2 linked regions of the Oryzias latipes genome follow. The protein of the gene in region 1 binds, or shares a complex with, the protein of each later gene. Links are inferred from orthologs where the notes say so. Each region holds a gene or a part of one and is shown in the gene's direction. Other genes may lie near its edges.

Region 1 (5,787 bases):
GTGAATGTAAGAAACAATTGAAAATGCATGGCTCATTTGGAGTTATGACATATTAGTACTAAAATAAAATGAAAAGGACAAATAAAAACGGTAGAAAAAAAAACACATGCACATTTCAAAGTCCAAAAGTAACACTTTCTACCCAAAATGGAAAATTACAGTGAGCATAGTAAGACAAGGGAAGAAGCTCTTCAAAATCTCCGCTGCTTGTTATAGTCTCCAGGCCCCGGAAGGCCTCGGGGGAAGCCGCTCTGTCCTCCTACAGGCATGTTGTTTGCTGGACCTGCCATCATCGGAGCGCTATCTGTAGCCATAGCAGCAGCATTGGCAGGTCCAGAATTCCCACCTAGGGAATTTCTGTTCATGCCCAACCCGTGACCACCCATGTGCATCATCATATCTTGTTCTCTGTTTTCAGAAAAGTTGGTTCTGAAACCCTCCTGCTGCCTCTTCATCATCTCCTCGTTGCGCATCCTCATCTCCTCCTCCCTCCGCCGGCGTTCCTCCTCCTGCCGGAGCTCCGCTTGCTTCCTCTTCTGCACCTCTTGGTTGTGGAGCTCTTCCATCCGGCGCAGCTCCTCCTGCCGCCTCAGCAGGTCTTGCCTCATCAGCATCACTTGATGCTCGTGTCTGGCTGCCTCCATCTCAGCCTCCAGCTTCTCTTGAGCTTCTTTCATGTTGCGGTCCACCATCTCGTACTGCTGCTTCTCCATCTCCATCAGGGCTTTCCAACGCATTGCATATTCATACTCAAAGGAGCCCGGCTGAGCAAAACGCGGTGGCTGCTCCCGTTCTTTGTGATACTGTTGGTTCTTGTTGATCAACTTCTCGGTCAGTCCTTCATCTTCGTCGAACTGTTCCATGGGCTCCACTGTAATGGGTCGGGGGAAGGCTGTGAGAAGATAGGCACCATCATTGCATTTATCCAGAGCCTTCCTGGCTGCGGGCTTTGAGGTGAACTCGACGATGCCTTTCCCCGTGGGCCTCCCCCTGTCATCCACAATCACCACCGCCCTCTCCACCTGCCCGAAAATAGCGAAAGCTTCTTCCAGGAGATCGTTGGAGGCAAACTCTGGTAAATTCTTTACACTCAAAGCGGCACCGTGCGTAGCAAACTTGACTCGGATAGGTCTGCCCCTGAATACATGATCATCCAGCTCGGCTCTGGCGATCTCAGCTATGATCCTGGTTTCCAGGCGGATGAAGCCGAAGCCTCTTTCTTTGTTAATAAAAATCTCACTGGCTTTACCATACTTTGCAAACAGCTTCTCCAGGTCATCTTCTGTGACGCCTGTGGGTAGGTTTCCCACAAACAGCCTGCTCCGCTGTGTGAAGGTCTTTTCTCCGGGTTTCCTGAAGCTCTGCAGGTCCATGGTTAAGGCCGCGTTGGGGTTGGTCTGCTCGCTGGTCTCCGGCTGTTGGCCATTGCTATTAGGTCCTTCGGTTTTGAAGTATTCCCCCTGGCGGTTGTGGCCGTGGTTATGCTGAGGGCCTCTGTTTCCTTGCATTATTTGACAAAGAAGTCAAAAAATCTGGTAAAGTGTGCTTTGAAAAGCAGTACAAGGGGCTAACAATGTCGTACAAAGAGTAACAAAAATGGCGACACGGTGCGCTGCTCTGACGGTTGTGTGACGTCACATGTAGGCGACATCTACTTAAAATTTCCTGACGGCATCTTTGTAAGACGATTTCTCTTAGAGTTTAAACCCCTGGCTCATTTTTATTTCTATTCTTATTCTTCTGTTTGTTAAATATGTGTATTTGATATTTGCAGTTGTGTTTTTATTGCATACCTAAAAGTATATCCTTGTAAAATGGCATATTGTGCAATAAAGTTTATTTAAAAAAATATTTGTAAAACGATTACATTCACGTTTTCTTTTAAAATGTTATTTTCATACCGTTTTTTAAACAAACAAGCAAACAAATAAACAATCAAAAACATTAATTAGATAAACGATATGCTGGAAAGACATAACTAACGTCTCGCGAGACTTCCCGATAAAAGCTTTAGCGGGCTATTCCGCGGGAACTGCGCTTTTTCTTAAAACATCTAAAAGGACTTCCCGTTTAAGGTATTGTTGTTCTACTTTTGTTATTTGTAGGGAAATGAGTCAGTGACATAATATGTTGTTGCTGTAAAGGGGGACGCTGAATCTTAAACATTCAACTGGTTAACAAGGATTTTAATGTTCCTTTACTTAATTCCTTTAAAGGAAAACCATGTTTTCTGACGTGAGCGCCCAGAAGAATGGCCCCTCTCTTCTCTGCAGCCCTGCCTCTGAGGAGCAGGGCCCTACCTTCGAAAGGATATCACTACCCTACGAGTTGTACTCCGATCGTTACAGAGTTGGTCAGAGGAGCTTTAGTCGTCAGTATGCTCACATTTATGCAGCAAGACTCATGCAGATGAGGCCCCTGCTGGCAGAGAGAGCTCAGCAGAAGTGGGGTGAGTTCATCATGTTAGCATGCCAGTTTAACCATCACTTGATTATCCAATACTTCTTTCCCCCTCTTCTCTGTCAGGATCTAATGTTCTTATCAAGAAACTGTGCGACCTAGAACCGGGGGAGCAGTGTTGTATTGTGGGGACCTTGTTCAAGCGAATGGAGCTGCAGCCATCCATCCTGAAGGAAATCAGTGAAGAGGTTAGGAGTCTGGTCTTTTTTGGATAAACAAAGCCACGTTTGATCTGTTCCTTTCATTTTAAAGATCCTGGACGTCTGTTTTTCAGCACAATCTGCTGCCTCAGCCTGCACGAGCCAAATACATCAGTGAAGCAGATGAGCTGATTTTAGAGGATGAACTCCAGAGGATCAAGTTGGAGGGCAAATTTGATAAAGATAAGTGTGTCACAGGTCAGTGTAATTGATGATATTTGATACTTTAATAAATTCTTTATGTTAAAAAAAAGTTGCCCCTCTTAGGTAGTGTCGTTGCAATATATGGAGCTGAAAAGAACGATGGCAAGTTCACCGTTGAGGACTTTTGCATGGCTGATCTTCCTTTACAGACACCAAGACCTGCGCTCAGCTCAGACAGGTGAGCTCAGGTGTGCACAGGTAAACCTTTGCAGTTAAGGGTTGCAGCTCATTAAAGCTTTGTCTTGGCACAGGTTTGTCCTCCTGGCTTCAGGACTCGGGTTAGGGGGCCACAATGCTGACAGCATGCTGGGGCTGCAGTTGCTGGTTGACATGGTCACCGGTCAGCTTGGAGACACAGGCGAACAAAGCGGCGCAGCAGCAATTTCCCGGGTTCTGTTGGCTGGAAACCTCCTGAGCCAAAACACCCAGGATAAAGACGCATCAACAAAGGTCATCCCCCCTGACATGCAACCACTTGACTTTCCTTATCATCTTTGTCCTTATTTTGGATAAGTTGACTTTTTGAACTTTACTTTTAACTATCAAATGCCTTTTTTTTCCTGTTTCAGGCCAAGTACCTCACAAAGAAGACCCAGGCTGGCAGTGTGGAAGCCATCCGTGTTCTTGATGAGCTGCTGCTTCAGCTGGTGGTGAGCCGGCTGTGTAAAAGTCATCTAAGATTAAACTATTACCAACGATAACTATAATATAGCAGGACGCATTTTGTTGTTTGCCAGGTCTTTGTTTTATGGGTTTACTTTGGCACCATTCAAACTCTTTTTTTGTTTTGTTTTATTTTCTTCTTTTATTTTGAAAAAATACCCAAAAATTAGAAAATTAAAATAAAGAGTAAAACATAAAAGAGAATAAGCATTTATGTATTCTTCTAGTTTAAATTCACTTTATTGCAAAGTTAAATAAACTATCAGCTGTGACAAACTCGTGACCAGAAATCAGAAATTCAAATCAATACATTTCACAAATGTTGACCTGTTTAATCAAAGCAGAAGGAAAAATAGTACATAAGTAAATAAAATGTCACATTTCTTCTAAAACATTTGATGAGTTTGTTTGCTATGTTTAAACTACTTTCCATGAAACCGACTGTTATAAACAGAATCAATAAACTTATCGTTTAAATTGTTGTCATGAAATACCTGCCAAAACCTGGTTTTATTTACTTTTTATCTTAATTTCTTTTATCTGCTGCAGTTCTGCATGTCACAAGGGTGACATGCAGAACTGCAGCAACTATAGAGGAATAAAGTTGATGAGCCACACAATGAAGCTGTGGGAAAGAGTAGTGGAAGCCAGGCTTAGGAAGAAGGTGGAGATTTGTGAGCAGCAGTATGGTTTCATGCCCCGTAAGAGCACCACTGATGCCATTTTTGCTTTGAGAATGTTGATGGAAAAGTACAGAGAAGGTCAGAAGGAGCTGCATTGTGTGTTCGTAGATTTAGAGAAGGCGTATGACAGGGTGCCGAGGGAGGAGCTGTGGTACTGTATGAGGTCGTCTGGAGTGGCAGAGAAGTATGTCAGAGTAGTTCAGGACATGTATGAGAGAAGTATGACGGTGGTGAGATGTGCTGTAGGTCAGACAGAGGAGTTCAAGGTGGAGGTGGGACTACACCAAGGATCAGCTTTGAGTCCTTTTTTGTTTGCTATGCTGATGGACAGGCTGACAGACGAGGTAAGACAGGAATCTCCCTGGACAATGATGTTTGCGGATGAAATTGTAATTTGCAGTGAGAGTAGAGAGCAGGTGGAGGAACAGCTAGAGAGGTGGAGGTTTGCTCTGGAAAGAAGAGGCATGAAGGTCAGTCGTAGTAAGACAGAATACATGTGTCTGAACGAGAGGGATCAAGGTAGAAGTGTTAGGTTACAGGGGGCTGAGGTGAAGAAGGTGCAGGAGTTTAAGTACTTGGGGTCAACAGTTCAGTGTGATGGGGATTGTGGAAAAGAGGTGAAGAGGCGAGTGCAGGCAGGTTGGAGCGGTTGGAGGAAAGTGTCAGGAGTGTTGTGTGACAGAAGAGTGCCAGCAAGACTCAAAGGAAAGGTGTACAAGACAGTGGTGAGACCAGCTCTGCTCTATGGGTTAGAGACGGTAGCAGTGAGACAGAGACAAGAGGCTGAGATGGAGGTAGCAGAGATGAAGATGTTGAGGTTCTCCTTAGGAGTGACCAGGTTAGACAGGATAAGGAACGAGTACATCAGAGGGACGGCTCACGTTGCCTGTGTTAGCGACAAAGTCAGAGAAGCCAGACTGAGATGGTTTGGACATGTTCAGAGGAGGGATAGTGGATATATTGGTAGAAGGATGTTGGAGATGGAGCTGCCTGGCCGGAGGGCAAGAGGACGGCCAAAGAGGAGATATATGGATGTCTTAACAGAGGACATGAAGTTGGCTAACGTTAGGGTAGAAGATGTTCATGATAGAGTGAGGTGGAAAAGGATGATTCGCTGTGGCGACCCCTGATGGGAAAAGCCGAAAGAGAAAGATCTTAATTTCTTTTATCTGTTACAAAGTGTCTCCTTTACCAACAATCACGTCATCTGCTTTGGTCACATCCTTTTTTTTTTTTACTTTATGAAACGGTATTATTTCCTGAAAACAGAGATATTTTGCCAGTCACTGAAACAATTTATTTAAACAATTTTTAGACAGCAATAATAAAACTAAATAAAGTCAACTTTATTTAGAAAGTGCTTAACAACGCTGGGTAAAAACAAAACAACAAACAAAAACAAACAGCATAAAATCAATAAATTAAACAAAAATAAATAAAACCCAATAAAAACCAATAAAGATCTAACTTAAACAGTCGGGAGTCCAAGACCTGATTCTTCAGGCAGCCAACAGTTTCCGGTGAAAATATTTTTATTGATCCCCTCATGTTGTTTCCTAGTTTTTAAATAACTGAAC
Region 2 (5,524 bases), on another chromosome or scaffold:
AGGAAGAGGCTCTGTGCACCAAGTCAACGGTGCAAACCCCGTGAATCAGATGTTTGGTTTTCACGGCTCTGTTCCCATGAATGTCCGGTCTTGGTGTCAAATTAATACGGTCGCAGTTGTTAACGTCTCCTTCATGATCACGTTGGCAACGCTTCATGCTCTCGTGTTTGGAAGTGGACGCCACCCACACGTCACTAAATCAGAGTCCCCGATTGGTCACAGAGCTACAGAGCTGCATCGCTGCGTTCAGCATGAAAAAGTTCAACCAGTTGAACCGTCAGCGCCACCAATGAACGCCGGTTTGTGCGCAGAGCTCGCCACTGGACTTTAAAACGTACACAGCAACGCGCGATCACCAGCGTTCCGGACGCAGGAACCTGGAATTCTGGTCTAGACTGGGGGAGGAGCCGGTGCACGCCGGACACGGCTGCAACATGTCCTTAACGTGTTTCTGAAAGGAATGAGACCTCTGTCCGTGCTTCAGGAGGATCTAGAGACGTGATTGGGGGGCTGTGCCCTGGAGACCACCTAAGTCATTTACTGTAGAATATTTTACTGTCCAATAAAGTGAAACCATGTTCATAAAAATATTGCTCTTACTATTTGTATGGGAAGGTTAGACGTGATGTAGTGCAGGGATCATCAAGTTAGCAGCTGTTAGGACTTTTTTGTGCTACGGCTCACCTGAGACCTTTAACGTTTGATCTTTTATGAGGAGAAACTGAAATCCATGAACTGTACATGTCAAATTTCTGTGAACCCAGCTCACGCATACATACCAGTACCATGCCAGACAAAAGCTGATGTGAACTATGCGAGTGGCGCTCGCGGACCCCCCAGCGAGGGTGTGAGGAAGCAGCAGCAGCAGCAGCAGCTGATGTTCTCCAAGTCTGACATTTCACAGCCGCATCAGGGATTCCAAAGGGAACCGTCAAGTTCCTCTCTGAGCCTTTACCTCCACATACAAGTTTTTTTAATGGCATGTTGTTGTTTTTCCACCAGAACCAAACTGTCCTCACCGTGTCGAGGCTTTATTGCATCACTACACGCACACAATCCCCGAAACACAAACGCACATCCAGACGGATCACATGGAAGTGTTCTGACATGGAAAATGGGAGATTAATGGACAGACACATCAGAGGAGAACCAATCAAACTGCTTTTTATTGATTTTGACATTCAGGACCAGAGAAGTAGAGAAAGAGGAAACCGGCGGCGGTCCCCCCGGCGGCGTCCTTCCAGGCAGCCATCATTAGGGGTTGACCTCCAGCCACATTCCCACCGTCTTCGCTGTAGAGTCTTTTACTAAGGGCAGACCGCAGAGATCACGCCGCTGCATCGTCCTCCTGGGTCTGTAAGTTAATGGGCCTCTACAGGAAGACGGCGTGTCTTCTGTTCACTGATGGATGGATTGAGGTTTGAGAGAAGTTTGCTGCTTTTTGCCAGACTTCGTTTGTTTTTTAAGTGTGAGTGCATCTTCTAATGGCATATTATTGTTTAAGTGCATCTCTGTCATCTTTGACCCGCTGAGGCATTTCAAAGTGCTTCACAAAACCCCATAAGCTTTGCACCACACCCAAAAATTCTATAAAAGTCATTTTTACTAAACTGCAGGGACAGCAACCGGCTAAAGGCAGACTTTGCAGCTTTCAAACAGTTTCTGAGGACTGTAACATGTCTACGAAGAAGAAAAAATTATCTTTAAAAATTCAAGATAAAATTTTATATAGATAATAACTCCTGATGTGTTTTTATTGGTTCGTTTCATGTCATTTCGTTTCATTCTTGCATCAGACCGTTTGCGTCAGTGTGGTAAACTGCTGTTCAACAGTCGCCGGCAGGGGGCAGCAGAGGCGCGCGGCGCTCCAACTGGTCAGAAACACGAAGAAGAGCGCGCGCCGTGGCCGTCATTGTTTTGGTCCTCCGCCCTGCTGCTTTCTGCAAATCTGTTAAAGAGGAATAAATATTCACGGAAATCTTTTTGTTCTCCAAAATCAGGTGAGTTCATTTCGTATTTGTTCGGTTTTCTGAGCACTCTGTTGGCGCAGGCGCACTACAGTACCGTGTTTAGTCAAAAGTGAAAGCATATTATTTTCCTGCAGATTTCATCATAAAAACATTTAGTTTTTAAAATGAAATATATTTGGGACATTAAGGTCTGATAATGTTTCATAGATAACTGCGGTTAAGGTGTAATTACGTGTTTAGACTGTCCGTAAAGCTGTAATAAAGGCTCGAGCAGGTAAAGGGGCGTGGCTTCAGACTACATTCCACTTTTGAAAAAAGTCAAACTTGTTTTATTAGAAAAACTTTTACGAAAACCTTATAATAAACGTAGGGAGATGTAATAAGTCCTCATGCATAAGCAGACAGACTCCATCAAACTTTAAATCATCAGGAATTTCTGTTTGTTTGATTTTTATCTTTGATTAAAAAATAAGAAATTCCTAAATGTGTTTGAGTTCAACGAACATCACCTACTGAGTTTTCCTCCATAGCAGCATTTTAAAATGTCGTTCAGAGCAGCAGGATCACAAAGATGAACTGGATCCTAGAAGAAAATACAGATGACTGCATGTTTTTGGTTAATTTGTCTTCATTTTTGTGCTTTTCTGACCAACTTTAACCTGTTAATTCTAAAAGGAGAACAATTTAAATCACTTTAGGTGCAACCTTTGTGAAGAGGAGCCAGATTTATGCTGCTTTCTCAGCAGCCATACTATAATAAATGCAAATGAGTATTTTCATGTCTTCACAGAGAACAGATCTAAATATGTTTTTACCTAAATGACTGTGAATGTTTATGAATGTTTATATTTGAAGACCAGAGATGAAAAAGTCTGTCTGGAAAATTTTGGTCAACATTAAATCTGAATTTCTATGAAATGTTACAAACGATTCACTATTTCCAACATAAGTCACATGAATCTAAGTTATTCAGAAGTTCAAATCATTTTGGTTTAGATCTCAGAAACAATAAATCTCCTCGTTTGGCTCTGAAGCTCAAGCAGCTGCAGGTTGTTGGTTTTAACCAATCAAAATCCAGAAATCCTCAACCTTAGAAAGTTCTGAAGATTTTTATTGATTTAATGACAGGAGCCTGCAGAACGGGCTGCATATGGCGCTTGGTCCGGACTTTGGACATGCCTGCTGTAGACCGTTCTGTCCTGCTTCTGGAGGAATCATAAAGAAACTGATTGTGCAATAATTCTGTGAGATGAGGTATTACTCAAATGGACGAGTAATCTGTTACAGGTAGAGTAACTTGCAGGACGCTGTCATCGTCTCTGTCTGCAGCTGCATCATCGGTACAGCCGGTCACCATGACAACCAAGCGGGGACTCATCACTGACTCCTTCAAGGTGGTGAAGAAAAAGAAGAGAGAAAGGAAGCAGGAGAAGAGCCCCACGCCGCCCCCCCCTCGGACAGGTGGGGATCCTCCGGGTGTCCGCTGATGTGCGCGCCGTGCACGAGCCACGCGGCGTGCACGAGCCACGCGGCGTGCACGAGCCACGCGGCGTGCACGAGCCACGCGGTCACAGAAAGGTCACCTGAGGTCACAGAAAGGTCACCTGAGGTCACAGAAAGGTTACAGGAGGTCACAGAAAGGTCACCCCGGGTCACTGAAAGGTTACAGAAGGTCAAGAGTCCCATGAAAAGTGTCTCCTCCTCTGTCAGAGGGCTGTAAAAACGTGTTCTGTTTCTCTGAGTACAAAAACAGACGAGTATTGAAGAGACAAACTGTAAATGACATAGAAATAGAATCTTTACAGACATAATTATAAAGAGACATTAAAAAATAAATTCTACCTTTCAGGACTTTTTTGTTTGAAATCCGTTTTCTGCTTTTGCAGAAAATGTTGCAGACACCGTCCAGCAGGAGGCGCTGCAGAAGCTCAGAGACTTCGACTTGGAATTGAGATTTGGGCCGTGCACAGGTATGGAAGCAGATGGGGGGGCACGCCTTCAGTTTGCAGCTGGAGCAGCACTGGGGGGGTGGGGGGGTGGGGGGGTCTGGTTGATCTATAGGAAGCAGATCTAAACGTGTCTGCCGGACTTTGCTCCAGCCTCTAGAGATCACAGGAATGCTTTCATGTTAAATAATTAAACCTACTTTCCTCACATTTGACCTGAAATGGGAAGAAAAGAGACGGTTTTGGGGGAGCATCTCCTCTTGGAGGGAGGAGTGCAGCTTTCCTTCTCTGTTTTCAGGGATCAGTCGTCTGCAGAGGTGGGAGAGAGCAGAGCTGCACGGCCTGGACCCCCCCGAGGAGATCAGGGAGCTGCTGCTGAAAGCCCCCGCCGACCCCGAGTACAGCCTGAGGTGACACGTCCTGAAAAAACACACACTGTCCTACTGTTACGGCCAGCTCGTCTGCAGGCGGGTCACAGGAGTCCGGGTCACAGGAGTCCGGGTCTCAGGAGTCCTGGCAGAACCGCAGCGGCTCCTGAAGATGATCAGGAAGAAAATGCTTCTAAATGTTGAAATCCGGCTTTTCCACGTTCAAATAATGCAGACTTTCTCTAAAAAACGGAGATGATGCACTAAAAACTCTGACATCAGGGATGATTTTTAAAACTCTTTAATCTCAGACACAGATTTTTATCTTCTTTAAAAACTCTGACTCTTCATCTCCTTTATTTTCAGCCTGTGGAGCGAATATCCTTTGTGAGTCTGGAGGAGGAGGAGCCAAAGCCTGCAAAGTTCCACCTTTTTACGCCGTTTATCATCATAATGATCATGTTTCTGCATCACAACACGTTCTGTTTTTATGGACCGGTTCTGTTTTATTAAACAGGTTCTGCTGATTCTCTGGCTGCCTATGTTGTTGGGGGGGGGGGGGGGGGGGGGGGGGGGGGGGCTCTTCAGGTAATGTCACCTGCTGAATGTTTGGTATTAGAATCTGGAGGTGGGCAATAACACACAGATCCAAGCACCGTGTGATGGAAGCCACGGGCTCCACTCACTGACACACTTTTAGACTTTTTATAGCCGACCCAAATTTCTTTTTTTTTTTTAATCGGTTCGTCTATTTTAGGATCAAGTCTGAGGAAATGGACCCAAAGCCACTTCCTGCATTCTTAACTGTTATATTTTATGATGATCAGAAAAAAATATCAATTACTAAAATCCTAACCCAAAAAAGTGAATAACATTGTTTATATGGTATATTTATCGTTAGGAACGCTGTGTCATTTATTTATTCTGCAACATTTCCATGTTTTCTTTAAGTCCCGCCTCCAGAGCTCTCTGATTGGTTGCTGAATGCGTCACGCTCTCACCTCGGACACTGATTGGTTGTCATGGCTGTCACTCGAACAACTGAACGCGCTGACAGCCAGAGGCGGGCTCCGACCCCCAAAAGGAGCCTACTGATGCTTTATGGGCGGGGCTTCGCACGCGGAGTTTACATTCCGTGTCCTCTCATTGGTCAATTCAGTCTGCGCTAATCGCGTCTGCTACTGAGCAGCTTCAGACCATTTTTCAATAAAAATCCCTAAGAAGTTCTCTGGCATCTTAG

Evidence for each region.
Region 2: pold2 (region 1) and pold4 share a complex: the UniProt entries of both Homo sapiens proteins name them as parts of the tetrameric DNA polymerase delta complex. The link is inferred for Oryzias latipes from reciprocal best matches to the Homo sapiens genes POLD2 and POLD4.

Annotation. Positions count from the first base shown.
Region 1 is NC_019867.2:18,719,934-18,725,720, reverse strand, and holds the start of pold2 (DNA polymerase delta subunit 2), read left to right. Parts: upstream 1-1,951; 5' UTR 1,952-2,075; intron 2,076-2,216; 5' UTR 2,217-2,223; coding exon 2,224-2,449; intron 2,450-2,526; coding exon 2,527-2,648; intron 2,649-2,734; coding exon 2,735-2,858; intron 2,859-2,927; coding exon 2,928-3,042; intron 3,043-3,115; coding exon 3,116-3,314; intron 3,315-3,433; coding exon 3,434-3,514; intron 3,515-5,787. Other genes in the region: nono (non-POU domain-containing octamer-binding protein), read right to left, coding at 192-1,508. UniProt on the Homo sapiens protein: Accessory component of both the DNA polymerase delta complex and the DNA polymerase zeta complex.
Region 2 is NC_019859.2:1,162,782-1,168,305, reverse strand, and holds pold4 (DNA polymerase delta subunit 4), read left to right. Parts: upstream 1-1,866; 5' UTR 1,867-2,000; intron 2,001-3,257; 5' UTR 3,258-3,325; coding exon 3,326-3,431; intron 3,432-3,856; coding exon 3,857-3,940; intron 3,941-4,214; coding exon 4,215-4,326; intron 4,327-4,650; coding exon 4,651-4,675; 3' UTR 4,676-4,812; downstream 4,813-5,524. UniProt on the Homo sapiens protein: As a component of the tetrameric DNA polymerase delta complex (Pol-delta4), plays a role in high fidelity genome replication and repair.